Stegostoma tigrinum: one gene and its partner. Each later gene encodes a partner of the first gene's protein in a complex. Links are inferred from orthologs where the notes say so. Each region holds a gene or a part of one and is shown on either strand. Other genes may lie near its edges.

Evidence for each region.
Region 2: the proteins of wdpcp (region 1) and fuz are in contact, whole or in part, in a cryo-EM structure (PDB 7Q3D), measured with the Homo sapiens proteins. The link is inferred for Stegostoma tigrinum from reciprocal best matches to the Homo sapiens genes WDPCP and FUZ. Residues at the interface, in NP_056994.3 of Homo sapiens: Arg55, Ile57, Asn75, Lys78, Leu82, Glu418, Asp419, Arg420, Leu421; in NP_079405.2 of Homo sapiens: His293, Glu372, Glu373, Pro374, Arg379, Gln397, Pro399, Thr400, His401, Gly402, Ser405, Leu406.

Annotation. Positions count from the first base shown.
Region 1 is NC_081362.1:1,603,808-1,617,308, reverse strand, and holds the start of wdpcp (WD repeat-containing and planar cell polarity effector protein fritz homolog), read left to right. Parts: upstream 1-7,713; 5' UTR 7,714-7,716; coding exon 7,717-7,798; intron 7,799-13,501. UniProt on the Homo sapiens protein: Probable effector of the planar cell polarity signaling pathway which regulates the septin cytoskeleton in both ciliogenesis and collective cell movements.
Region 2 is NC_081391.1:22,113,048-22,125,439, forward strand, and holds the start of fuz (protein fuzzy homolog), read left to right. Parts: upstream 1-5,730; 5' UTR 5,731-5,754; coding exon 5,755-5,838; intron 5,839-9,970; coding exon 9,971-10,092; intron 10,093-12,392. UniProt on the Homo sapiens protein: Probable planar cell polarity effector involved in cilium biogenesis. May regulate protein and membrane transport to the cilium.

The DNA of each region.
Region 1 (13,501 bases):
TTCCCACTTTTATCCTTGATTACCCAGCTTAACAGTCTGACGTACTTGGATGTAATTTTGAAAATTTTACAACTATCATTAAATCTTGCCTCCTTCAATTAAACAATAGATTTTGTATAACTCCAGTCTGACATTGAATTTAATGATCAGTTGAGATTTTAGATAATACTGTAACATATTAAAGCATTGATCATGTGCATTTGCTCAAACGTATTTTGTTTTGGAACCTATTTCCTGTCTTTATAGCATTGGGATTTCTTTGTAAATGCCTCAGAATGCTGGACATGTCAGTGATGAAGCAGCCACAGGAGGGCAGCAATCTCACCTTGCTAAAATTAGCAATGAAGAAGTCTGCTAGACAGGTCATGGAAATTGCAATTTGGTAAAAATTGTGTCCAAATGAAGCCCTCAGTATTCCCTTGACAAAGTTTTTTGAATCAGCAGTGTGCTCGTGAGAAATAGTCATACAAATGGTTCACTATGTTGGTGTACTGGAGTGCTGTGACATAGAATATTGGGCATGACCCTGCTCCTGCAATTTCCCATATATTACTTCTCTATCGCAGCCAGGCTGGCTGATGCAGTGCTAGACAGAGATAAGGAAAAGAAGAATTTGGCAGAGGAAATCAGACACTGGATCATCTTGATCATAATTGTTCCTGTCTGTTGTCCAGGTCCTGCTTGCTCACTTGCCCTCTCCATGAGGTGCTACAAAAATAGGATTTTAAAATGAGTAACATAAAAGAAGTTACAATCTACGGTGATGGTTTGTAGCAACTGTGCTAAGGTTTCTTAAATCTCTTCTATTGATGCAATCATTACAGGGCTTCATGGAAAATGGATAAATCCCTAATGAAAGATAGAATTGCATTTATATAGTGCCTATCATGACTATAGCTAGTCAAGTACCTGAAGTATAGGTGTTGAGACTTTATTGTAATGAACTGGTTCATCTGTTGCATGCTAAATGCTGTGAAACTGCATGATGTATGCAAACAACAAAGATTACAAATGGATCATTCCATGCAATTAATAGAGTAGTGTTGTAATAATCATTTTCTCTTCCAGAAATGAGATTCCTCTGTAAGGATTTAACTGATTAATGGGAAGTTACTTTTATTAATGAAAAATAAAATGCTGATCTATATTATTCTATCTGTAGCATTTGTCATTGAATTCTGCCAGCAGCTTGTTTTGTGGCATCTGATACAAACTACTTTTATGAGGGTGCAAGTGGTGTTGGAAAGAGAGCTGTTCTGATGAAGAGTCACCAGACTTGAAATGTTAATTCTGCTTTCTGTCTGTCGATGCTGTCAGACCTGCTGAGTTGTGCCAGCAATTTCTGATTTTTACTTCAGCTCACCAGCATCCGCAGTTCTTTGTTTTGTTATAGATAGCTCTAAATATTGTTACAATTGAGCAACAGTTATGGTTAGTCCTTTCAGAAGGATTTTTTAATTAAGTTGTTAATTTTATTCTAGTATTCTGTTCCACATTGTATTGTGCAACCGTTTGTCCATTTTGTGACTAATCTATTCTTTCAAATGAAACTATAAGCTAGTAATTTCAGACATAGTTTGTATATTACAATAATAAAAGGTAGATTTTCGTTTTCATGTGAGATAGACATGAGAGTTCTCACAAAACAAACTGTACAGGCAACATTTGTTTATTTTTTTTCATTTCAGTGTTCTTGGCTTTTCCCTAAAGAAAATAAAGTGTTTACTCAAAGTGGGCAAAATTATGAATCGCATAATCTGATTAAACTGTAGATGAAGATTCTTTGCATTTTCTCAATGTGCCATGCCATATAAGGAGACTGTTGCTGACATCGACATTTCTGTCCCTCAGTGGTTAGAAACTCAGCTGTTTAAATTTCCATATCGTGAAATCCACTGACATTTCATTGAGCTTTGCGCTTTGTCATTTTTCAGCTTATTATTTGATATGTGACTGAACACAAATGTCCAGATTTTAAGCATGCCAATAAATAGTCTCAATTCTTTACAACAGCTAATGGTTATTTGATGTGTTGTCGATATTTGATATCCAGTCGTCAGGGAGTTTTGATGTTCCATTTGGTTGTCAGGTTTCGTTCAGTCCTGAAAGGCAGAAAACAATTATCTTCAAGTTTCAGTGATAATGGGAACTGCAGATGCTGGAGAATCCAAGATAACAAAGTGTAGAGCTGGATGAACACAGCAGGCCAAGCAGCATCTCAGGAGCACAAAAGCTGACGTTTCAGGCCTAGGCCCTTCATCAGAGAGCTCTCTGATGAAGGGTCTAGCCCCAAAACGTCAGCTTTTGTGCTCCTGAGATGCTGCTTGGCCTGCTGTGTTCATCCAGCTCTACACTTTGTTACCTTCAAGTTTCACATCCTTTCTCTTGCATTGGGAGTTTGGTAGTCCCTCCTGCCATTCCACATAGTGAATTCAGGACAGGACACAGGATCTCAATGTCACAGCACTGTTTCTGAAAATTACTTGTCCTTTGTAATATTCCCTGTTGTCGAGTCAAAGTCAAAAAGATCTACAACACAGAAACAGGTCCTTTGGTCCAACTTGCCCATGCTGCCCAGTTTTCATAATTTAGACTAGTCCCAATTGCCTGTGTTTGGCCCATATCCCTCCACACCCATCCCATCATGTCCCTGTCTTAAATGATGAAATTGTACTCGTTTCCACCACAACTTCTGGCAACCCGTTCCACACCTCCCTCTGTATGAAAAAACTACCTCTCTGGACCCTTGAGCATCTCTCCCATCTCACCTTAAACCTACGCCCTTTAGTTTCAGATTCCCCTACCATGGGGAAAAGCTGTCGGCTTCTCTGTGCCTTTCATGATTTTATGTGCTGAAGAAAAGACATGTTTAATTCGAGCTTTTCATCATGTTCTTATCAGAACGCTGTGCAAGACTTCCAATTTAAAGGAGGAAACTTGATATTTACATACTATCTTGCTGACCAATCAGCAATCTTGTCTCAGGCAGCATAAATGTTGCCCTCTTTTTCCAGCTGGTATTTCTTGGGAATTGTCCTGATGATGAAAAGCTGTGACAAAACGTGTCTTTATTCAACTTCTGTGCTCCTGCCACTCTATGAAAAACGCATTCATTCAAAGGTAGAAAATCCTATTTAGTCTCCAAGTTAATTTTACTTAATGTATACTATAAATGCTATGCAAAAATATGGGAAGTCTTTACTTCCTCACATCTATTATTATTGTAGTGTGTATATATAAATAAGTAGAGCTAAAGTATGCACTTGTCTAATACAGTTTCCAACATGCCCACTGAAGTTGTTCATTGTGTGCTTTCAGTTATTTTTCATGGTTCAAATAACTATGTCCCCACTCTCCTGACCATCACAGTTGTGATGGCATTGTTTTTCTCCTCCAAACAGGGCAAATCATCCAATTCTTGCTCTATCCTGACACCCTCTTCTCTCCCTCCCCACTTCCTGTCCAACTGTGACCTGATTACTGTGGCTTGTTACCCCCAGCTGGCTCACGTTTCTGACAATATGAATTAGCTGCCTCAACTGGTCTAGTGTACACCTGCAGGATTCTAGCGATAGGCTTTGCCCAAAGTAACATTTGCTCTGGGCCATGCTATTTTGAACCTGCATGGCAGTGATTGCTTAGAGTTGCACATGATTTCAAAATAAAAGTGTTACAGCCATCAAAGGGTGTTAGTGCAGACATCTGGAAATTTGCTTGGCTTGCATCTGATTTTGAGTCCACTGTGTGCATTAACTTCCAGGTCTTAGCCTTGGCACCACCGTTAACTGAAGGATAATATTTTGGGAATATAAGATCCAGGACCTCATATTCTATGGAGTTAGTTTAAAGCGCAAAGTTTGCAAAATCAGGTCACGTGCTGGATATGAAACACCAAATCACTGGAATTTTAAATTGCTGCAGTAATTTGGCAAGAACTTAATCAAACCTATAATTAATTGTGTGGAAAAAGCAGGGTAGGGGTTGCATGACAGCTCAGACATCTCAGAGAACACTTAATACTGATAATGACAATCTGAGTTTACTCTAATATCATCGGTGAAAAGCTGACAAAATGCCTTCGGAATAAAGCAATTATGTATCAAAGTAGATCTGATGCATCGAAAGCTACTTTGTTCATTAATGAAACACCATGAGTGGTATATTTTAGAACATAGAACATCGAACAATATAGTGCAGAACAGGCCCTTTGACCCTCTTTTGCGCCGACCTGTGACCTAATCTAAGCCCCAACACTATCCCATCATCGTCCATATGCTTATCCAAGGACTGTTTAAATGCCCCTAATGTGGCTGAGTTAACCACATTGGCAGGCAGGTTGTTCCACGCCCTTACCGCTGTCTGAGTAAAGAACCTGCCTCTGACATCTGTCTTAAATCTATCACCCCTCAATTTGTAGCTATGCCCCCTCATACAAGCTGACGTCATCATACTCGGAAAAAGACTCTCACTGTCCACCCTATCTAATCCTCTGATCATCTTGTATGTCTCTGTAAAATCCCCTCAGCCTTCTTCTCTCCAATGAGAACAGACCCAAGTCCCTCAGCCTTTCTTCATTAGGCCTTTGCTCCAAGCCAGGCAACATCCTGGTAAATCTCCTCTGCACCTTTTCCAATGTTTCCACATACTTCCTGTAATGGTGCGACCAGAAATGCACGCAGTATTACAAATGAGGCCGCACTAGCATTTTGTACAGTTGCAGCATGACGTCACAGCTCTGGAACTCAATCCCTCTACCAGTAAAACCTAACGCACCTTATGCCTTCTTAACAGCACTATCAACTTGGGTGGCAACTTTCAGGGATCTATGTACATGGACACCAAGAATCTTTCCATTGACCCGGTATTCTGCCTTTCTATTATTCTTCCCAAAATGAATCACCTCACATTTATCCACATTGAACTCCATTTGCCACCTTTCAGCCCAATTCTGCAGTTTATCCAAGTCTCCCTGCAACCTGCAACATTCTTCCACACTGTCCACCACTCCATTGACTTTAGTGTCACCTGCAAACTTACTAACACATCCACCTATGCCTGCATCCAAGTCATTTATAAAAATGTTAGTGGTTCCAACACAGATCTTTGAGGCACACCACTAGTAACCGGACTCCAGGCTGAATATTTTCCGTCAACCACCACTCGTTGCCTTCTTACAGAAAACCAGTTTCTAATCCAAACTGCTAAATCTCCCTCAATCCTATGCCTCCGTATTTTCTCCGATAGCCTACCATGTTGAACCTTATCAAAGGCTTTATTGAAGTCCACGTACACCACGTCAACTGCCCTACCCTCATCCACGTGTTTGGTCATCTTCTCAAAAAAGTCAATGAGGTTTGTGAGACATGACCTGCCCTTGATTACTCCTTTTTGAGGATATAGTTATTTATGACTTGCATATGAATTAATAACGGCAATTTTGCTTCTTTTGGGTAATTACTGAAGTTTAATTTTGATAAATAATGAAACTTTGTTTTGATCATGATCTAGAAAACAAAGTTTTGACAATTTTTAAACTTCATGCAAATATGTTGCACTTTGAACTAACTCTCAACATTAGGTTGTTTCAGTTACCAAATAAATCGTAGATCTGAGAGATAATGGGAACTGCAGATGCTGGAGAATCCGACATAACAAAGTGTGGAGCTACACGAACACAGCAGGCCAAGCAGCATTTTAGGAGCACAAAAGCTGACATTTCAGGCCTAGACCCTTCATCAGAAAAGGGGGATGGGGAGAGGGTTCTGAAATAAATAGAGAGTCGGGGGAGGCGGATCAAAGGTGGATAGAGGAGAAGATAGGTGGAGAGGAGTCAGACAAGTTAAAGGGGTGGGGATGGAGCCTGTAGAGGTGAGTATAGATGGGGAGATAGGGAGGGGATAGGTCAGTCTGGAGAGGACAGACAGGCCAAGGGGGCAGGTTAGGTTTTGGCAATAAGTACTAAACCATCTCTGTTTTAAACATCTAGTGTATCTTTCCCTGTTAGTTTTTGTACCCATAGTGATATCTTCAGTGTGTAATTGTATTGTGGTTAAGGTTTACAATATGTTACCATTTTGGAATTTGTTTTTTAAAAGTAGAGGTAAAGTAGATTTTGGTTTCAGGTCTGTGAGTGACTGACTTGTGTTTCAGGTCAAAGCCATTTGGAGTGATGAACTAAAGACACAGGCCTGCATTTTACGTTTTTTAGGCTAAGTGCAAGTTGTACTGAATTTTTTGGAGGGTGTCCTACTGTGACACCAAGTGAGATTTCTCACCATATCTTGGCATATAGTGTGAGGTGGTGGCACAGTGGTAATATTATTGGGCTGGTAACCTAGAGGCCCCGGCTAATGCTCCCAGGGCATGTGTTCGAACCCCACTTCTACAACATCTGGTAGATTTTGAGTTCAATGAATAAATTCTGGTATTGAAAGCTAGTAATGATTACCATTCAATAAATTGAGTTCGTTTTGGGAAAGGTTCTTCTAGCACAGTGGCTCAGTGGTCAGCACTGCTGCCTCAAAGCGCCAGGAACCCGGGTTCGATTCCAGCCTTGGTGGACTGTCTGTGTAGAGTTTGCACATTCTTCTCATGTCTGCATGTGGGTTTCTTCCCACAGTCCAAAAATGTGCAGGATAGGTGTTGGCCATGCTAAATTGCCCATAGTGCTCAAGGATGTTTGGGTTAGGTGGGGTTTTTTTTCAGGTTAGATTAGATTCCCTTCAGTGTGGAAACAGGCCATTACGGGCAATTTGGCATGGCCGATCCACCTAGCCTGCACATCTTTGGACTGTGGGAGGAAACCGGAGTACAGGGAGGAAACCCACGCAGACATGTGGAGAACGTGCAAACTCCGCACAGACAGTTGCCCAAGGCTGGAATCAGATGAGAAATGCAGGGATAGGGGAATGTGTCCAGGTGGGTTGATCTTCAGAGGGGCAGCATGGATTTGTTGGGCCAAATGGCCTATTTCCACACCCTAGGGATTCTATGATCCTATTGAACACCTTTCATTAACCACTTCACTCACTTCTATGATGTCCATCACGCCGATTCTACCCTCCTTTCACCATGCGCCTTTTTCAGAATAACTCGTCACTGAACAGATATCAACTGACAGACCAGCAGTCCTTGTTCCTTTTGTGCATCTGTATGAGCATTGGAATTCCAAAGCTGCCTTGCTAATTCAAGGATATTTTGTTGGAGAAGGAAATGATGGCATTGCAATTCCCTGACAGGAACCTGGAGGGTGGTGCAAAGGAGACGGGTCTCCTTCTTGTAGAACCAGCAGAGGAGACCACATTACCAGATACTGGTATAAGGCCACAACTTGGATCGGTACAGTCTCAATGATGCCTAAGCATGGCCAGTGGTGTTGTAAGAAGGTCAATGGCAAATAGTCAGGATCCACACTCCTCTCTCTGCTTGCACCCACCTCGTGCTCAGGCCCTGTCACTCTCACTATTATTGCCTGCAACATCTTCCCTCATTCACCTGCTTGCATCCCCCCAACCTACCCACCTCTGTCGAATTTTGCACGCCATTCAAGGCCGCTACACTACCTCCTTATCACCTTAGGACACCACACCAGCTTTCACCCACTTGTACCAGCACTAACAGCCATTCCACCCACTGCTATCTCACTCAATTTGTCTCTTCTCTTATTACAAGAAAAAACAGAGCAAAAAGCCTCCAGTGCAGGTGGAGGGGTACCAGATGTTAGGCTTCTTACCCGCTATGAGGAAAGAATCTTGGCCCTCGCTGGAAAAGACTGGAATCACTCCTGCGGGGTCGCCGAGTAAGTACCTTTCTTCATTCCATAGTAATTCTCATATTAACTCCTCCATCTATCTCAAGCAATCATTCATTCATTGCACACCATTTCTAACCATTGGCCTTCTCTCCCTTTATACTTGCAGTTACTACCAGCATCTCCTCCATCTCTGTCACAAAATACCCAACTCCCCCAGAAACAATTGTCTTGACCTCTTGAGTATGAGAGTACGGAGTCTCATAGGGGGCATCGGTATGGGTGTCTCCTGTGTGTGCGCTTTGGTGTGGAGCTATAATGTGGTGAGCACCTCACAGTGACAGCTTCACAGCTGACCAAGGAAAAATTATCCCAGGCCACTGGTATTCGGAGGACTGCCAGTATTCAGGCACCTGTCCAACCCTAGGCAGGAGAGGACTTGACTGTCAGCAGTCAGGGACTTTGTCTATATCCACAGGGAGGAGCAGGAGCAGTGGGGTGCAGTGACCCTCATTGCCCAGAAATTGCAGCACTTTGGTGGCACAGGTGATAATGCTATGTACATAATTTGACACCTTTCTACAAATGGCACTGCTTTGACCTTGCATTGGTTGTTTGTCTCTCTGTGTAGCCTTGAATGTAATTGTTGCAGCATGAAGCATAACTTCGTGGCCTCATACGATGTATTACTATCAATGTCTATGTTCAGACCCTGCTGCTGCATGTGGAAGTAGGAGGAATAAGGCACTTACAGGGTGATGAGTCCTGCTCATCTAATAGCCCCTCGTTGCACAACATCTCTATTCTTTCCCTGGGCTCTGCTCCCAAAGTATTGACTAGAATGAGTTGATCAGTGATATCTAGAACAGGGAGGTGCACAACAAGCATGGGGCCAATGTATTATAATAGCCAGGGATGAAGGACCCCACAGACCTGTGTACTACACAATGCATGGGTCAGTGTGTAATGTAGTTTGCATGTAAAGGGCCTCACATTGGTTCATCTTGGAGTCCCTCCCCTCCCATGTCGAGTCATTTACTCCACCCACGTCGAGTGTGGTCGCAACTGTTTTCCTCCCCATTGCACACTTTTGATTTCTATCATAATGGAAAGTGATAGTGAGCTCTCATTTGCCAGCAGTTTCAGCCTCTTCTCTGTTTGGGAGAGCTCCCAAACATCCAAATCCCCTTCCTGGTAGCCCTTCCCATAGATTTCATATTTCCCCAGGTCCCCATCCAACCCATCTTCATGAGTCTGCACCTGCCCACTTATCTCCCCGAAACACTGGCAATAAGATGACTATGCCAGGTGTTGTCATACAGTTTGAGACAAGGCTGCTTGCTTGTTGCATGTGCGGTTTGCTGCACAAACAGCTGGCACATGGAGCAAGTGTGAGACTGGCAGCACAACTGCCATATAGCAGGTATACATGCCTGTGAATGAGGACTGCTGACCCATGCACACTACCTGGTTTTATGTCACTGTGCTAATTGGCACAGCCAAGAAAGGCATAAATAGTATGAGCATGCCGGTAGATACTAAGAGATCAAATGAGCAGACCTGTGACGCAAGCTGATCGAATCTGTCAATTAGGTGACTGTTCCTGCATGTAGTGTGCTGCTGCTGCAATCTTTAAGTACTAGTTGTCAGTGTAAGTCTGTGCTTCCAGAGTGCTGTGCAGGTGTATCAGATTGCCATGATGGGCATAAGGAATTAGCAAATGGCAGTATCTGTGGGTGAACAGTGCATACCATTGGTGTGCATGGATCATGTCTGGGGATGCTGTTTGGACATAAACAACACAGAAGTCCTTTTGGACCAAGCAAGGAGCTGAAGTCACCAGGTACGCACTGTGATTTTCATGACTAGTTTTCTCAGTGCCTAGCTTGTTTGGCACATTTAGAAGCATAGGAAGCTGAATGTTAATGCGGTGAGTTTGGCCATTAAGGGTATTTGACAAGCAATAATCCCCCTTAAAAGCAACTCCATGCTCCTGAGTGCGAAACTCACTTATCAATAGTACTCAAGCTGGAGTGAGATGCCCCCAATATTGAGATAAACCTTGTCAGATGACTTGTCTTATTCTACCACAAATCTCATCATAGCCCATTGTCACTTGGACTCCTACAAGATTCTGCCCATGATTTTCAAGAAATTGTGTGATTTTAGTTAAATGCTTAGATCAGATGCTTTGGAAGTTAATTGCCGAATATTTACAAAGAAGAGTTTTAAGACAGAAAGCTCTTTGGGTCAGAGTCCAGCATCACAGTTCAGAAAAACAGTAAATCATCAGCAAAAATGCAGATTGTAGAAATCTCCAGACAGTGAGAGTTTAGTTTATAGAAATCTTCCAACTTTCAGAGCTGGAGGAAATAGTCTTGACTTGCTTCAACAGTCCAGGAAGAAGAAATGGGAAGAGTTGTTTGAGTAAGAAATTTCAACAGTTAATACAGGAATAAGATTTCACTGGGATTGAGAAAGACTAAAGGATATTAATGGGAAAAATAATTGTTTTTGCTGTTAAGGGGTGACGTTACAGAGGTTTATAAAATCATGAGGGGCATGAGCAGATGCCGAGGTCATCTTCCTCAGGTGGAAGACATAGATTTAAGGTGAGAGAGGAATGATTTCAAACAGACCTGAGGGGTAACTTTTTCACTTGGGAAATGCGTGTATGGAACAAGCTGCCAGAGGAAGTAGTGGAAGCTGGTACGATTACAACATTTAAAAGGCATATGGATGGGTATATTGAAGAGCATGGGTTTAAAGGGATATGGGCCAAATGCTGGCAAATGGGACTAGGCCAGATTGGGATGTCTGATCAGTGCTGACAAGTTGGGTTGAAGGTCTATTTCCTTGATCTAATTCTATGACTTTATAGAACGTGAGCAGTATAGCACAGGAAGGGGCTCTTCAGCCTGTGATGTTGTGCTGGACGTGATGCCAAATTAAACTAATCCCTTCTGCCTGCCCTTGGTTCATATCCCCCCATTTCCTTGCATATTCATGTGCTTATTAAAATCTCTTGAAACCCCTATTCTGTTTGCCTCCACCACCACCTCTGGTAGCGTGTTCCACACTGTGGGGAGAAATGTCTTGTCCCCACATTTCCTTTGAATTTTCTCCCTGTCACTTTAAATACATGATCCTTGGACTTTATAACTTTCTAAATTTTCCATGTACAGCTTGTGTTTTTTTCCTTTGTGCAATAAACTGGTGTTGTTTTGTTAAAAGAATATTGACAGCTTTGTGTGAATATGTTCAGTAATTAACCACCACAATAACCAAACTGTAAATATGAAAATTTTGATCTATGAAGCTTGGTTTCACTCTGGGATTTGACTTGTATGTTATTGAGCTCGGCTTGTAGAGTTTGAAGAATTTGAGCAAATTAGTCAAAGATGTAACAAGCAAAGTGGATATTCAGGATCCTGCAGAAGGCATTTGATAAGGTTTATATGCTGGGTAAGATCACACAGGATTACCTTGTATAGAGAACTGGATTACCAATAGAAAGCAGAGAATCAGGATAAATGGATCTTTTCCTGGTTGGCAAGCTGTAACTAGTGGAGCGCCACAGGATTCAGTCCTTGAGACCCAATCTATTTACAATCTATATTAGTGACCGGGATACAAGATAGAATGTACTGTAGCCAAATTTACAGGTGACACTAAAATAGTTGGGAAAGTGAATTGCCATAAATAAATAAGATTTTCAAATTAATACGGATAGGTTGAGGTGAATGGGCTAAAATTTGGCAGATGAAGTTTAAATTGGATAACTGTAAGGCTATCCATTTTGGTCAGAACAATAGAAAGGCAATTTATTATCTAAATGGAGAGAAACTTGAGAGTGCTTTGTTGCAGAGGAATCTCATGTAGGAATCTCAGAAAACCAGTATGTAAGTACAACAGGTAATAAGGCAGGGGGGTGGGGTGGAGTGGGAATTGAATTTTCTTGTTAAAGGAATGGAGTGTAAAAGCAGGAAAATGTTGCAATTATGCAGCCTCACCAATGCCTTGCATCTCAAGTAATGTGTATAGCTTTGGTCCTCCTACTTGAAGGATGTAATTCCACTTGAGTCTGTTCAGAGGAGGGTCACTAGATTAATTACAGTGATGAAAGATGTCTTATGAATAGTGATTAAGCAATTTGAAAGAATGAGGGGAGATCTAATTGAAGTAAATAAGATGCTAAAGGGGATTGACAAAATAGATACACAGCAGATGTTTCCCTGCATTGGGCAATCTAGGATAAGAGGTCATAGTTTTCTGCTAAGGGATAGCAGATTTAACACTGATGAGGTAAAATTACTTCTCTTAAAGGGTCACTAGCCCAGAGTGCAGTTGGTGCTAGGAGACTGAATATATTTAAGGAGGAAATAGACAGCTTTTTAGTTAGTAATGGGCTAAAGGGTAATGAAGAGCCGGCAGGAAAGTTAAAATTAAGGCTGATATGATCATATTGAATGAGGGAGCAGCATCAAGGGGCTGAATTGCCTTCTCCTACTCTTAGTTTTTTTTAATTATTGCCATCAGTTCAGATCACAACAGTATGTCTGAGCAGACCTATTTTTAGGGAGTACTAAAGTTTGTACTATTTGTTCTCGTTTGACTTTCAGGACCTTCCTATTTATGTAAAGGATACAATGCCATTGCGTATCTATGCAATGGAATCCTTTCAGGCTACCCCATAGGAGAACTACCAGCTAAGTCATATTGCTTAAAAGCATATGACTAATTGTGTGTGTGTGTGTGTGTGTGTGTGTTGGAGGGGAGAAAAGAAACTTGACTGATTCCCTGTTGTAAGGAAGACACCATCAGATGAGGATGCAGACCCTTTTCCACGAGCCAGGCACCCCAGGAACTTTACTATCTCTAGCCCAGGTGGCAATGAGGCTATATGTTGAATGTGTCCATTACCACAAAGGTTATCACCCCATAAAAGTGCAGACAGTTTCTAATTTTGTGTAATTTAATGGATTGTTTATTATCCAGGGAGCATTGTCCATCGATTTTGTAACACAATAGTCTTTTGCCTGCATTATCTGTAGATCCCAAAAGAACAAATGATGTAATCTTTAATTGGAATCTGTGCTGTGTGCATGGTGGAAGGCAATGACTACCTCTCATATCCACAGCTTATGACTCCAAGTAGAAGAGAAAAAAAGCAACAGATTTTTAATAAATTTGAACAGAAAGCTGCCGCAATGGTATAATGAGTACAGTTTGTCTTTTGAGTACTTGTTCTGTTCAATTTTTTTAAATACTCCATTTACTCTTACGTATGTAAGTTCATGCCTTTTCAAAAAAAGTCAATAAATCTAGCTGAATAAAACTTTTGAAACTAATGCTCTAGTTTTTATTCACATTAACTTAAGCACATTATCAACCAGATACTATCAGGGTCTATGAAATGCATTTTGTCATGTTAAGCCTCCTGCAAAGTTATGAACAAGGCATATGCTAAGACTGTAGCAATTTTAGCCAACTGAGCTATACTCTGAAGAGAAATGTCAAGTCAAAAGCCAGGATTTCTGGAACAACTAAGACTGTCAGGTTATTTTTATTTGTTTTAGAATTAGTGTGATGCAGGAGTTATATCATTCAAGACATTCATCATTTCCCTAAGAAGATGATGGATCTTTGAACTGCTATAATCTTTGTAGTAATTAAGCTTTCACAATGCATTGGGTGAAGAGTTGCATGGTTTTGGTGCTATTATTAAGTAATGGTGATGCATTGCTCAGT
Region 2 (12,392 bases), on another chromosome or scaffold:
TGATCAGCCATAATCCAAGTGAATGGCAGAACAGGCTCAATGAGCTGAATGGCCTGCTCTTGTTCTTATGTTATGTCTCCTTAATATGAAACTCAATATTAGGTGGGTTTGTGCTTTGACTTTTAAAAATCTGCAATCCTAATTAAAATACAGTTTTGAAAAAGTTTCATTTTCTATTGTTTTCAATGCTCTTATTTTTATGCAATTCCCCAAAGATCCTAACTGTTAAATGGGAAATTCAGTACAAATCAATCTGGATTATATCTTTTCTTAAGACTGGGTACCAATGTTATTGATCCCCTGCAGCACCTTCTACAGGTGGCCAATCTTTATGTATCTTGTTTGTCTGTCCCTTCTGTAATAGCTTGGTTCAACTTCTGCAACTCCCATGTTTCAATTTGGAAGTTGTATATTCAAGACCCGTGCCAGGTTAAGATTTGGTATGGAAATAGCACGGTTAATGTTGTAAAACTTCCCCAGGGTCCTTTGGAAGAGGATTATCAAAGAAAATTTGACAGCATTACACATATGGAGAAATTTGAGCAAATGATCAAAAGGCAAATCAAAGATTTAGGTTTTAAGTGTTTTTTAAAATATGCAATAGATTTTTATTTCATTCTCTGCATGAATGCTTAATGTTGGTGGAGCGACAGCTGATTGGAATGTTTGAACAGATATATGGGTGTGGTTCTTGACCCGATGATAAGTGAATTCATGGTAGCCCATGTCCTAGCCTCCTACTCCTCACACCAGGCCTTGTTATCGCATTGCCTGCCATTACACAGTACCTATAACCAGTTCTGAGGAAGGGTCATCAGATCCGAAACGTTGACTCTGCTTTCTCCTCTACAGATGCAGCCAGATCTGCTGAGCTTTTCCAGCAACTTTGTTTTTGTTCCTGATTTGCAGCATCCGCAGTTCTTTTGGTTTTTACCTATAATTTGTCACCAACAGTCCCCATTAACAACTATTCACCCTCCTAGTCAGATTGTTATCAACTCCTCTGTCTATCTAATTGCTCTTCTCTCTCTTCAGGCTCTATCCTATTGTTTACTCCCTACCCCAGCTCCCTCCCTACTTTCTGCATATAAGCTGACGTTTTCCCAGTTACCAGCAGTTCTGAGGAAAGGTCACCGGACCAGAAACATTAACTTTGACATTTTTCTTCACAGATGCTACCAGACCTGCTGAGCTTTCCCAGCAACCTCTGTTTTTGTTCCTGGTATGGGGCTTCGGTAAGCACAATCTCCAGCTCGAGATTTGGAGCCAGGTAGCTGTAGGATCTTAGAGATGGCATCAAATGTAGCTTTAGCAAATAAAAAAACAAAAGAACTGCAGATCTTGCAACCAGGGTTAAAAACAGAAGTTGCTGGGGAAGTTCAGCAGGTCTGGCAGCATCTGTGAAGAAAAAAAATATCTGGGTTAACGTTTTGCATCCTGTGACCCTTCCTCAGAACAGAGTTTTAGCGAAGCTCCCAGTCTGACTGTTCAGCCTCCGGCAAAGGGATGGTAATCATCAGCACTGGCCTACTGAAGTAGTTTCTAGGGGACTGGAGCTGAGACAACCCGGTACGTTGAGGAACGGGAATCAGACGCCCAAAGCCTAAGTCGCGATGCCCAGTAACCTTGCATGGTAGAGTGTGGGATCTTCCAATTTGGTTATCCCAGTCACCCCTTCTTACAGAAATGATTAACAACTTTGCCAGACTGATAGGTCCACAAACTGCAATGACCACTTCTTTGCAGCATTGAAACCCAAACCAACACATCTGTTATAGTCACCAATTGCAACAACATCTGTAAATCAGAGATAATGGGAACTGCAGATGCTGGAGAATTCCAAGATAATAAAATGTGAGGCTGGATGAACACAGCAGGCCAAGCAGCATCTCAGGAGCACAAAAGCTGACGTTTCGGGCCTAGGCCTGAAACGTCAGCTTTTGTGCTCCTGAGATGCTGCTTGGCCTGCTGTGTTCATCCAACATCTGTAAATCCATTGGATTTCCTGCACACATTTGCTTCTGTATGGGCATGATCTCGTTCTTCAAGAGTGATCCAGAAAGAAGACCCATTGATAGGGTTGGAGAAGAGATAAATTCCATCCAGAGTCTTGATTTTCATGTCTTTACCAAGCTTAGTTACTCAAATCCACTCCTTGATGGCATGAAGGCTCAGTGGGTAACACTGCTGCCTCACAGCACCAGGGACCCAGGTGTGACTTCACCCTCAAGCAACTGTCTGTGTGGAGCTTGCACATTCTCCCTGTGTCTGCATGGGTTTCCTCTGGGTGTCCTGGTTTCCTCCCACAATCCAAAGGTGTGTAGACTAAGTCAATTAGCCATGGGAAATGCAGGTTTACAAAGTATGGGTGGGATGCTCTTTGGAGAGTCAGTGTGGACTAGATGAGCTGAATAGCTTGCTTCCATACTGCAGGGACTTTACAAATATCTTCAGCCTTTCCACTGCGAGTGCCACATCCCCTAGCACAGCATTGGCCCTGCCCACAGGCCACCAGAGCTGAAGCCACTGTGGAAGCTCCCTCTACTGCTGGTGTCTTTAAGGAGTACCTTAACAGATGATATACAGAACTGATGATGTGACTGCCAATGGGCTGTTGAAAGTAAGGAAGCATAAGAGTCTAGAATTGAGGATCTTGGAGGGTTGTAGCAGGTTACAGAGATTGGATGGAGTGAGACCATGAATGGATTGGAATATAAGGATCAATCGTTAAACTGAGACATTACTTATCCAGGTGCCAGTGTAGGTCATGTGAGCACAGGGGTGAAGGGTGTGTGGGACTTGATACAAATTAGGTCATGAGTAATTCATCTAGGTTAAATGATGTCTGGCCGCCAGTAGGGAACTTTAACTGTATCGCCACCATCATTCCACCCCAGCTCTTCAAACTGATTATTTATCTGGTTGCAAGCTATGGGTTCTTGCTAAATGATGAATGGCTGTTGCAATGACTGAATAAATCAGAATTTTCGGTCAGATGAAAATCATGTTAACGTGCTTCTAATTATTCAGTAATCTCCAGTGATTTTGGACAAATGGAGTTTTCAGTTAAAGCAATAATGGGAGATGTGGGATAATTGAACTCAGTATTCAGAAGTAATTCAGCATCTATTTTAAGCTTTATACTCTGACCTCATCTTTCAACTTCTATTAGCCCTTCTGCTACCACAGTTCAAACAAACTCCCTCTTGAAATATTCCGTGTGGTAGTTGCTCTGGTCTGTTCATGTGGAAGTGTAGTGCCTCCACTTGGTGGAAATATGTAGCTACAGGGTGACATGTTTACAGAGGTGAGGACTATTAGAGATACAGAGTCTGATATTCATAACGCTTTTGAGAAAAATTAACAGGAATTCCATGCAGAGGTAATAGTTAATATGTTATTACAGATCAATTAGATCAAGTGACTTTATTCATTTAAAAATCAAGAGGTGATTTTCATCAATTGTAAAACATTGAGCCAAACCATCCTGTTTTTGAGTATGCAGGAAACCGACTGGGCATGTTAGGGCAACCCAAGTACAGACATGAGCTGAAATTTTACAAATTCTAAGGCAGCAGAGGATAAACCCACCTCCCCAACCACTCTCCTTCTGCGCTTCTTGTAGAACAGTAGGTCATATCCTCCACTCTCCTGGCCAGCTCTCATCGCAGGGTGAAGACAATTTTCAAGCATCCAAATGTGGTCATAGTAGGAAAGCCTCCTGGGTATGTAGGGGAATCTATTTTCAGTCACTGGGGCTTAGTTTAAAACTGGAGCCAGATTTTTCAGCGATGACATTAGGAAACAGTAGGACATGCAAAAGTTTGCAGAAACCATCTGCTGTTGCAATCCTCATTCACGTTCTCTCACTCACTCTGGTCTTCCTTATTCCAACATACCTCTGGCTGATCTCCTATATTTTACATTTTGTAATCTTAAGCTCATCAAAAATTCTGCTGTTATGTTTTAACTCACAGCAATGTCTGTTGACTCCCAGTCAAGCAACATTTTAATTTTAAAATGGATTCTCCTTCTTATTTCCAAATCCCTCAAATGCTATCTACCTCACTGTCTTTCTAATCCTCCCCAGCTCCACAACTGTCTAAGAGATTTATCTTCCTTAAATTCTAGTCCCGTGTGAATCCTGAACTTTAATTGCATTGGTGGTTGGACTTTCAGTTTCCTGGACCCTCAAACCTTTGATACACTTCTTAAACCTCTCCGCCTCTCTAACTCACTATCCTCCTTTAAGACACCCCTCTGATCCCATCTCCTTAGCCTTTAGTCACTTGACCTAATATCTCCTTCTGAGGCTCGGCATCATACTTCCTTTTATAATGCTCCCGTGACACTGTTTAATTGTTTTTTTAAAAAATAAAAGTATTTAAAAATAGGTTGTTCTTGTTTCTATATTGCAGAAGTTTTGGTAACTTTCAAAATTCATATGAATTTTCTAAGAATATAGATTCAGGAAAACATTTGGCTCCACAGAGAATATTTATTTAATGCCTTAATATTTCCTTCAAGCATGAAAAGAGATTGGATATACAGGGATTATTTTCCTTGGAACAGTAGAGACCTCGGTGGGGGCATGACTGAGATATATAAAATTATAAGCAGCATAGACAGGAAGGAATAAATAAAACAAAGAACTGTGGATGCTGAAGATCTGGAAAAAAAGTCATAAATTTTTGAAGAAACTCAGCAGGTCTGACAGCATCTGTGGAGAGAAAGTAGAGTTCAGAGACCCTTCCTCAGAATAGACCCTTCCTCTGAACAAGGGTCATTGTACTCGAAACATTAACACTGCTTTCTCTCTATAGATGCTGCCAGACCGGATGAGTTTTGGATAGGAAGGCACTTGTGGAAGGGACAATAACCAGGGGGCATGAATTTAAAGTAAGGGGCAGTAGGTTTAGAGGGGATGTGAGGAAAAAGATTCACTCGAGATGGTGGTAGGAATCTGGAACTCACTGTTTCTAAGAGTGGTAGAGGTAGAAACTCTCATAACACTTAAAAACTATTTAGATGTCCAGCTAACTGAGGGTTGCACAATGATGCCAACAGTGTGAATCACTTCCTGCACCTGCCGAGATTACATGCAGGACTCTCCTCCTCTACTTCTCCCCTCGCTTAAGGCATGGTGACCCTGAGGTTAAACCACTACCCGTCATCTCTTACAGATAATGCAAATACTTTTATTTAGATGTGCACTTGGCGATGTCAGGGCATACAAGGCTATGAGCTAAGTGCTGATTTATAGGATTAGAATAATTAAGTTGTTGTTTTTGACTCAATGTAGCGAAGGGTTCTTATCCAACCTGAGACCTCTGTAATGAAGTGTGAAGCTGGATGAACACAGCAGGCCAAGCAGCATCTCAGGAGCACAAAAGCTGTTTGGCCTGCTGTGTTCATCCAGCTTCACACTTTATTATCTTGGATTCTCCAGCATCTGCAGTTCCCATTATCTCTGTGACTCTATACTGGTGCCCTTTCCCATTGTAGGCCTTCAATAGATTTTTAAAATCTAAATTTATCTAATTTTTAAGAATCTGTTGTTGATGGAAGGGACTGCATCACTTGAAACTGCATTGAATGCGGGGGAGGGAACTGTAGCAAAAAAGTTTACAGAGCTGCGCGTGCGCGGGCGGTTGTTAGGGAGCGGCGGCGGTTGCTAGGGGACGCGAAGGTATCCCGGCGTACCTCGGGAAAGTGAAGGCCTGTAGCCAGGGGGGGGGGGTCCGGTTTCTCAAGATGGCGGCTACTGTACAGCTCCTGTGCCTGGCAACTAGCAGTGGCGTGCCTCTGTATTGCAGAAGTAAGGGGGAGAGTAGGCAGGTAACCTCACTCATGTTACATTCTTTGCAGTGCATTGTCTTCTCTTCGTTTTCTACAACAAAAAAAAACTTTTTTTTGTTTGCTATTTAAATAAAGACCATAAAGCCATATGGAATAACCACAGGAGTAGGCCGTTGGGCCCTTCTAGCATGCTTCACCATTCTAAAGGTTCATGGTTGATTCCTCACGCCCATTTTTCCCCATAGTCCTTGAATCCCTGACTGACTGTCTATCCTCTCCAGTTAAACCACTGCCATTCAGCTCTCTCTCTCTAATGGGACAGTATCCATCTCATCTGGTTGGACTATGGCAACTTTGGCTTTGGGAATTAGTTAGCCCAGTTGGCTGGATGAACACGGCAGGCCAAGCAGCATCTTAAGGGTCTAGGCCCGAAACGTCAGTCTTCCTGCTCCTCTGATGCTGCTTGGCCTGCTGTGTTCATCCAGTTCTACACCTTGTTATCTCAGATTCTCCAGCATCTGCAGTTCCTATTATCTCTTATGGCTGGATGACTGTTTTGTAGCACAGATTCAATTTCCACACCAAGTGATATTACCATGATAGATTCTCCTTCTCAACTTTTACCCTGACCTGAGCTAGTGGTGACCCTCAGGTTAAACCCCCACCAGTCGCTTTTCTGCAATGAGAGAACAGCCCCATAGTCTGATAAGACGGTGGCAGCTTTATGCACAGCTTTCTGTGGTGAGGAGCGCCAAAGACACTCAAACCTCAGAGGAGAAAATAAAAGCAAGAAACATTGGGGGCTTGCACTCAGGAATTACTCAATGCAATTTCAAACAATTTTGAAGATGCTACTGTCCTGAAGAAGGGCGGAGACATGGGGAATAATTTTTTGAGTGGCATGGTGACTCAGTGGTTAGCACTGCTGCCTCACAGTGCCAGGGACCTGGGTTCAATTCTACCCTTGGGTGACTGTCTGTTTGGAGTTTGCATGTTCTCCCTGTATCTGTGTGGGTTTGCTCTAGGTGGTCTGATTTCCTCCCACAGTCCAAAGATGTGCAGGTTGGGTGGATTGGCTATGCTAAATTGTCTGCAGTGTTCAGAGATGTTTAGGTTAGGTGGGTTATGAGGGTTGGGTCTGGGTCTGGGTGGGATGCTCTGAGGGTCAGTGTGGACATGTGGGCTGAAGGGCCTGTTCCACACTGTAGGGACTCTGTGAAATTCAGTGAGAGAGAGGGTACAAAGAGAAGGAAAGTCTGAAGCCCTTAATTAGGACGGCCCGAAATGTTGACTTTCCTACTCCTCGGATGTGGTCTAATCTGCTGTGTTTTTCTAGCTCCACATTTATTGACTCTAGCTTCTGACATCTGTAGTTCTTACCGTCTCTAGGGTACAAAGGGAATACTGATTTGGTAATATGGTTTTGTTAGTGGTGTGCCCACTGTGCTGCTGCATATGCCAAGCCTGACCATCCATTTAGTATAAATGGTAACTGGCTGGCCATTTTATTGAATGAAAATGGGGGCAAGAATTAAATGCCACAACAAATGTTTTGGACATCATGCTGACAAAACCAGTATTTATCCCTCATTTCTCTGAAGAAGGTGGTGGTGAGACATGTCCATGCAGGGCAAGTTACTGTTTTCGAGGCAGTCCTCAAAGTTGTGATGCAAGATTAACCAATTGTATCTTCTAGCCGTGATGGCAAGGAACTTGCAAGAGCCGGTGTTTCCATTTGCATTTTCTGCCCTTGTCCTCGGTAGTGGAGGTATTTATTTTAGTTGGTCATGGGATGTGGTGTCACTGGCTGGGCAGCCTTTATTGCCTACCCTAGTTGCCCTTGAGAAGATGGTAGTCAGCTGCTTAGCTGGTTTCTTGAACTGTTGCCATCTGTTTGGGTTGAACCGCACACATAGTGCTGTTCGGGAGGCAATTCCAGTATTTTGACCCAGCACCAGTAAAGGATCAGGGATAAATTTCCAAGTCAAGATTACAATTGGCTTGGGGGTGGGGGGGTGGTGGACTTGCAGGTGGTGATGTTCCCGTGCCTCCACTGCCCTTGTCCTACTTGATGACAGTGATCATGGGTTTGGAAGGTACTATCTAAGAAGCCCTGATGAATTTCTGCAGTGCATCTTGTAGGTAGTACACTCTCACCATGGTACACTAGTGAGAGTGAATACTTAAGTGATTTGGTTGCTAATAAACTGAACTGATGAAGGGGTCAACTCTATGACTCTGGAAGGCACCTGGATGGATACATGAATAGGAAGTGTGTAGAAGGATGTGGGCCAAATACTGGCAAATGGGACTAGATTAATTTAGGATACCTGGTTAGCATGGATGAGTTGGACCAAAGAGTCTGATTCTGTGCTCTATAACTCTATGACTGCCCAGTGCTGCTCCGTAGTTGGCAATATAAGTATAGGAGATGGCTATTGAAATTAATCACAGCTGATCTGCACCTTAAATCCACCTACAAACCCCTATTGCTTAATATCTTTGCCTAACAAAAATTGAACAACCTTAGTTTCTGACATTTTTAATTGAACCCCAAAAAGCTTTTTCGTTTTGGTGAGAGAGTTTCAGAATTCTACTATCCCTTTATTTACTCTTAAAAATGTATTCTCCTCCTGGACGTGGATAACACTGACTAGGCTTGCTTTGTTCAACCAATCCTAATTGCTCTGGAGAACATGGTAGTGAGCTGCCTTCATTAATCACTGTAGTGCACGAGATATAGAGACGCCCACAGTGCTGTTAAGACGGGAGTTCTGATATTTTGGTTCGACCGACAATGAAGGACAAGTGATAACCATTCCAAATCAATGTAGTTTATGGCTTGAAAGGGAGCATGCAGATGATGATGTTCCCATGTATCTGCCGTCTTGTCCTTCAAAGTGGTAGAGCTTGCAGGTTTGGAAGATGCTGTCAGTGGAGCCTTGTTTACTTGTAAGTGCATCTTGCAGATGGCATGCACTGTTACTATTGTCCAACTGTGGTGAGGAAGTGAATGTTGAATGTGGTAGATGGGATACCAGTCAAACAGCATACTTTGTCCCAGATAGTGTTGAGTTTCTTGAGTGTTAATAGACCTGAACTAATGCAGATAAGTGGAAAGTATTCCATCACATTCCTGACTTGCTCCGTGTAGATGATGGCTGGGCAGTGAAGGAGTGGGGGTGGGAGCCTTATGCAGTGAGATCCTTGCTGCAGAATTTGCATATAAACATACAAGAGCAAGAGATAACAAGGTGTAGAGCTGGATGAACACAGCAGGCCAAGCAGCATCAGAAGAGCATGAAGGCTGATGTTTCGGGCCTAGACCCTTCTTCAGAAATGGGGGAGGGGAAGGGCATTCTGAAATAAATAGGGAGAGAGGGGGAGTCGGATAGAAGGTGGATACAGCAAGAGCAAGTTCCTCAAACCTGCCTCACCATTCACTCAAATCATGGCTGACTCGAATACTCCTCAATCCCATCTGTACACCTGATGACCTTTTATCATCCCCCTTGCTTACCAAGAATCTTCATCTTACCTTGGTCTTAAGAATACTCAAAGACCCAGCTTCCACTGCCTTTTGACTTTTTTTTCTAGCCTCAGACCTGCACTATTAGCATGTTCTTGTGTGAAGAAGTGCTTGCTGATGTTACCCCTAACAGGCTGAGCTCTAGTTTTGCCGGTGTACCTTCCAAACTGTCCCATCATAGAACATCATTTGTCTCTCTGGAAACGTTCTTTCCCATTGAGGGAGAGTCGAGAACCAGAAAACATAATCTCAGTTTAAGGGGTTACCTGTTTAAGATCAATAAGGAGAAATTTCTTCTGTCAGGGGATAGTGAATCTGGAATTCTTTACCACAGAGGGCTGTCGAGGCTGGGTCATTAAATATGTTCAAGGCTGAGATGGACAGATTTCTATTCATTATGAAAATCAAGGATATGGTTGGGGGGAGGAGCAGAAAGTGGAGTTCAGCATCACCACATCGACCATGATCTTATTGAATGGTAGAGAACAGGCTAAATGACCTACTTCTACTCTGAGATCATGTAGACTTATGAATCCCATCGGATCTTTCAGTTATTTTAAACACTGGGATCAAGTTGGCTGGAAAAGTTTTAATGGCCTGAATGGAGTTTCTGTATTTCAGTCAGTCCCTTTTGTTTTGCAGCTTCCGTTCTCGGTTATTGGCTCTTTGAATGGAGTGCACATGTTTGGGAGTAACCAGGATATTTTTCTAACCAGCACCTGTACTGACAACACCAGGGTCTGTTGGAGAGTTTTCCACGACAGGTAAGGTAGAACAAAGGTCCAGGGATCCATTCCGGGTTTTGTTCTGTGTGAGACACAAATGCACTGCAAGATCATATTTAAAATTAATTTAAAACAAAAGTTGATGACCAATTTCCTTATAGTTGTATTCACTGATCTGTTCAAACATGTTACAATACACCTCCTGAGCAAGTGGGACTTGAAACCTGATCTCTGGCCTAGAGGTAGGGACACAGCCACAGTACCGTGAGACCCACACAAATTGTCTTCATAAACTTTTCTTAATGGGAAAGGAGCTGCTCCGTGTCCAGGAATAACAGGACAAGAGAATTTGAGAGCAGCTGTGTTGGAGGTTTTCACAATCATCAGGGTTCTGGATGGGGAGAGACCATTCCCATTGGCAGAAGGGCCAAGAACACAAGGAGTTAGATTTAAGGTGAATCCTGAAAAAAACATTGTGACATGAGGAAAAAATGTAGCAAGTGATTAAGATCTGGAATGTGATGGAAGCAGATGCAATCATGGCTTTCAAAAGAGAATTGGGCATTTGTCAGATGGTGAAAATTTGCTGGATGACATGAAAATTGTTGGGTGAGTGGGGCTGGGTAAGTTGCTCTAGCAGAGAGCTGGCACACATGTAATGGGATGAATGGCCTTACTATGTGCTATAAACATCCTGTGGTTCTAATTACATTCTAAAAAACATTTTTCTGGATTTTTTCCTGTTTGTGTTACCTGGGCCTTTTTGAAGGGAGTAAGGAAAAGGATTCCTTTTCTGAAGAAAAGATTCTGAAATACGTCACCAGACCTGAAACGTTAACTCTGTTTTCTCTCCGCCACTGCTGCCAGATCTGCTGGATTTTTACAATTTCTGATGTTTTTTCTGTTTTCTAGCATCTGCAGTCTTTGTTTTCTAGTTTAGAAAAGGAAATGTTTACTGCTGCAGGACCTCATTTTAAAAAGTCTAACCCATCTGTTAAAGAGATATGGTGCCTCCAGTCCAACTACCAAATTTTCCTGTCCACCTTTTTTGTACATCATTGAAAAAACTTGCAGTCTAAGTTAACCATCAGCTGTTGCAGGTTTTCTCACTTCCCAGATATGATCAAGTAGTGCCCAAAATAATCCCAATTTCTAATAACAGTAACAGCAATTTGCATTTAACAGAGCTTTCATTTTTAAAAATTAATTCAACAGATGTGGGCCTTGCTGGCTGGACCAGCATTTATTGCCTATGTAAAATGCCCCTGATAAGGTCATGGTGAGCTGCCTTCTTGAACTGTTGCAGTTTGTACAATGTCAGGACACCCACAGCTCTGTTACAGGAGGGAATTATCATAGCGTCATAGAATCCCTACAGTGTGGAAAGAGGTCATTCGACCCAGCAAATCCATACCAATCCTCTGAAGGGTATCCTGCCCAGCCCCACCACCACACCCTATTCCCCTAATTCCACACATTACTGTTGGCCAATCCACCAACTCACCCATCTTTGGACTGTGCGAGGAAACTAGAGCAACCAGATAAAACCATGCAGACGTGGAGAAAATGTGCAAACTCCTTATGGACAGTAGCCCGAGGGTGGAATTGAACCCAGGTCCCTGGCACTGGGAGACAGCAGTGGTAACCACTGAGCCACTGTGCAGCCAGGACTTAGATCCAGCGACAGTGAAGGAATTGTGGCGGTATTAATGTTGTAATATATCCCAGAAGCAATTATCAAAGTTTGACACTATGTCATAAAGAATCAAATTAATGCCAGTGACTAAAAATTTAGCAAAGGATATCATTTTAGAGAGCATCTTAAAAGAGAGAGGTTTAGCAAGGTGTTTCTAGTGAGGTGAGGGTCTGGGCAGTTAAAGGCTTTGTAGGTTGTGCACTATTGGGCTCTCTAGAGCAGATGGTTCCGTGCTTTATTTGAGATTATATTTTCGTAGAGGTGCAAACTGTGGAATAAGTTCATGTTCAGTGACCAAAGTGGGGCTACTTTGGGCAGCATGGTGGCTCTGTCGTTAGTGCTGCTACCTCACAGTGCCAGGTCCAAGTTCAGTTGCAGTCTTGGGTAACTGTGTGGAGTTTGCGCATTCTCTGTGTCTGAGAGGGCTTCGTCTGTGTGCTCCAGTTTCCTCCCACAGTCCAAAAATGTGCAGCTTAGGTGAATAGGTCGAGCTAAATTGCCCTATCGTGTCCAGGGATGTGCAAGCTAAGTAGGCTATGGTAAATGTGTGGTTCTGCGGATAGGGTGGAATGCTATTTGGAGAGTTGCTGCAGACCAGATGGGCCTAATGGCCTCTATCAGAACTGGCATTACTAGTTGCTTG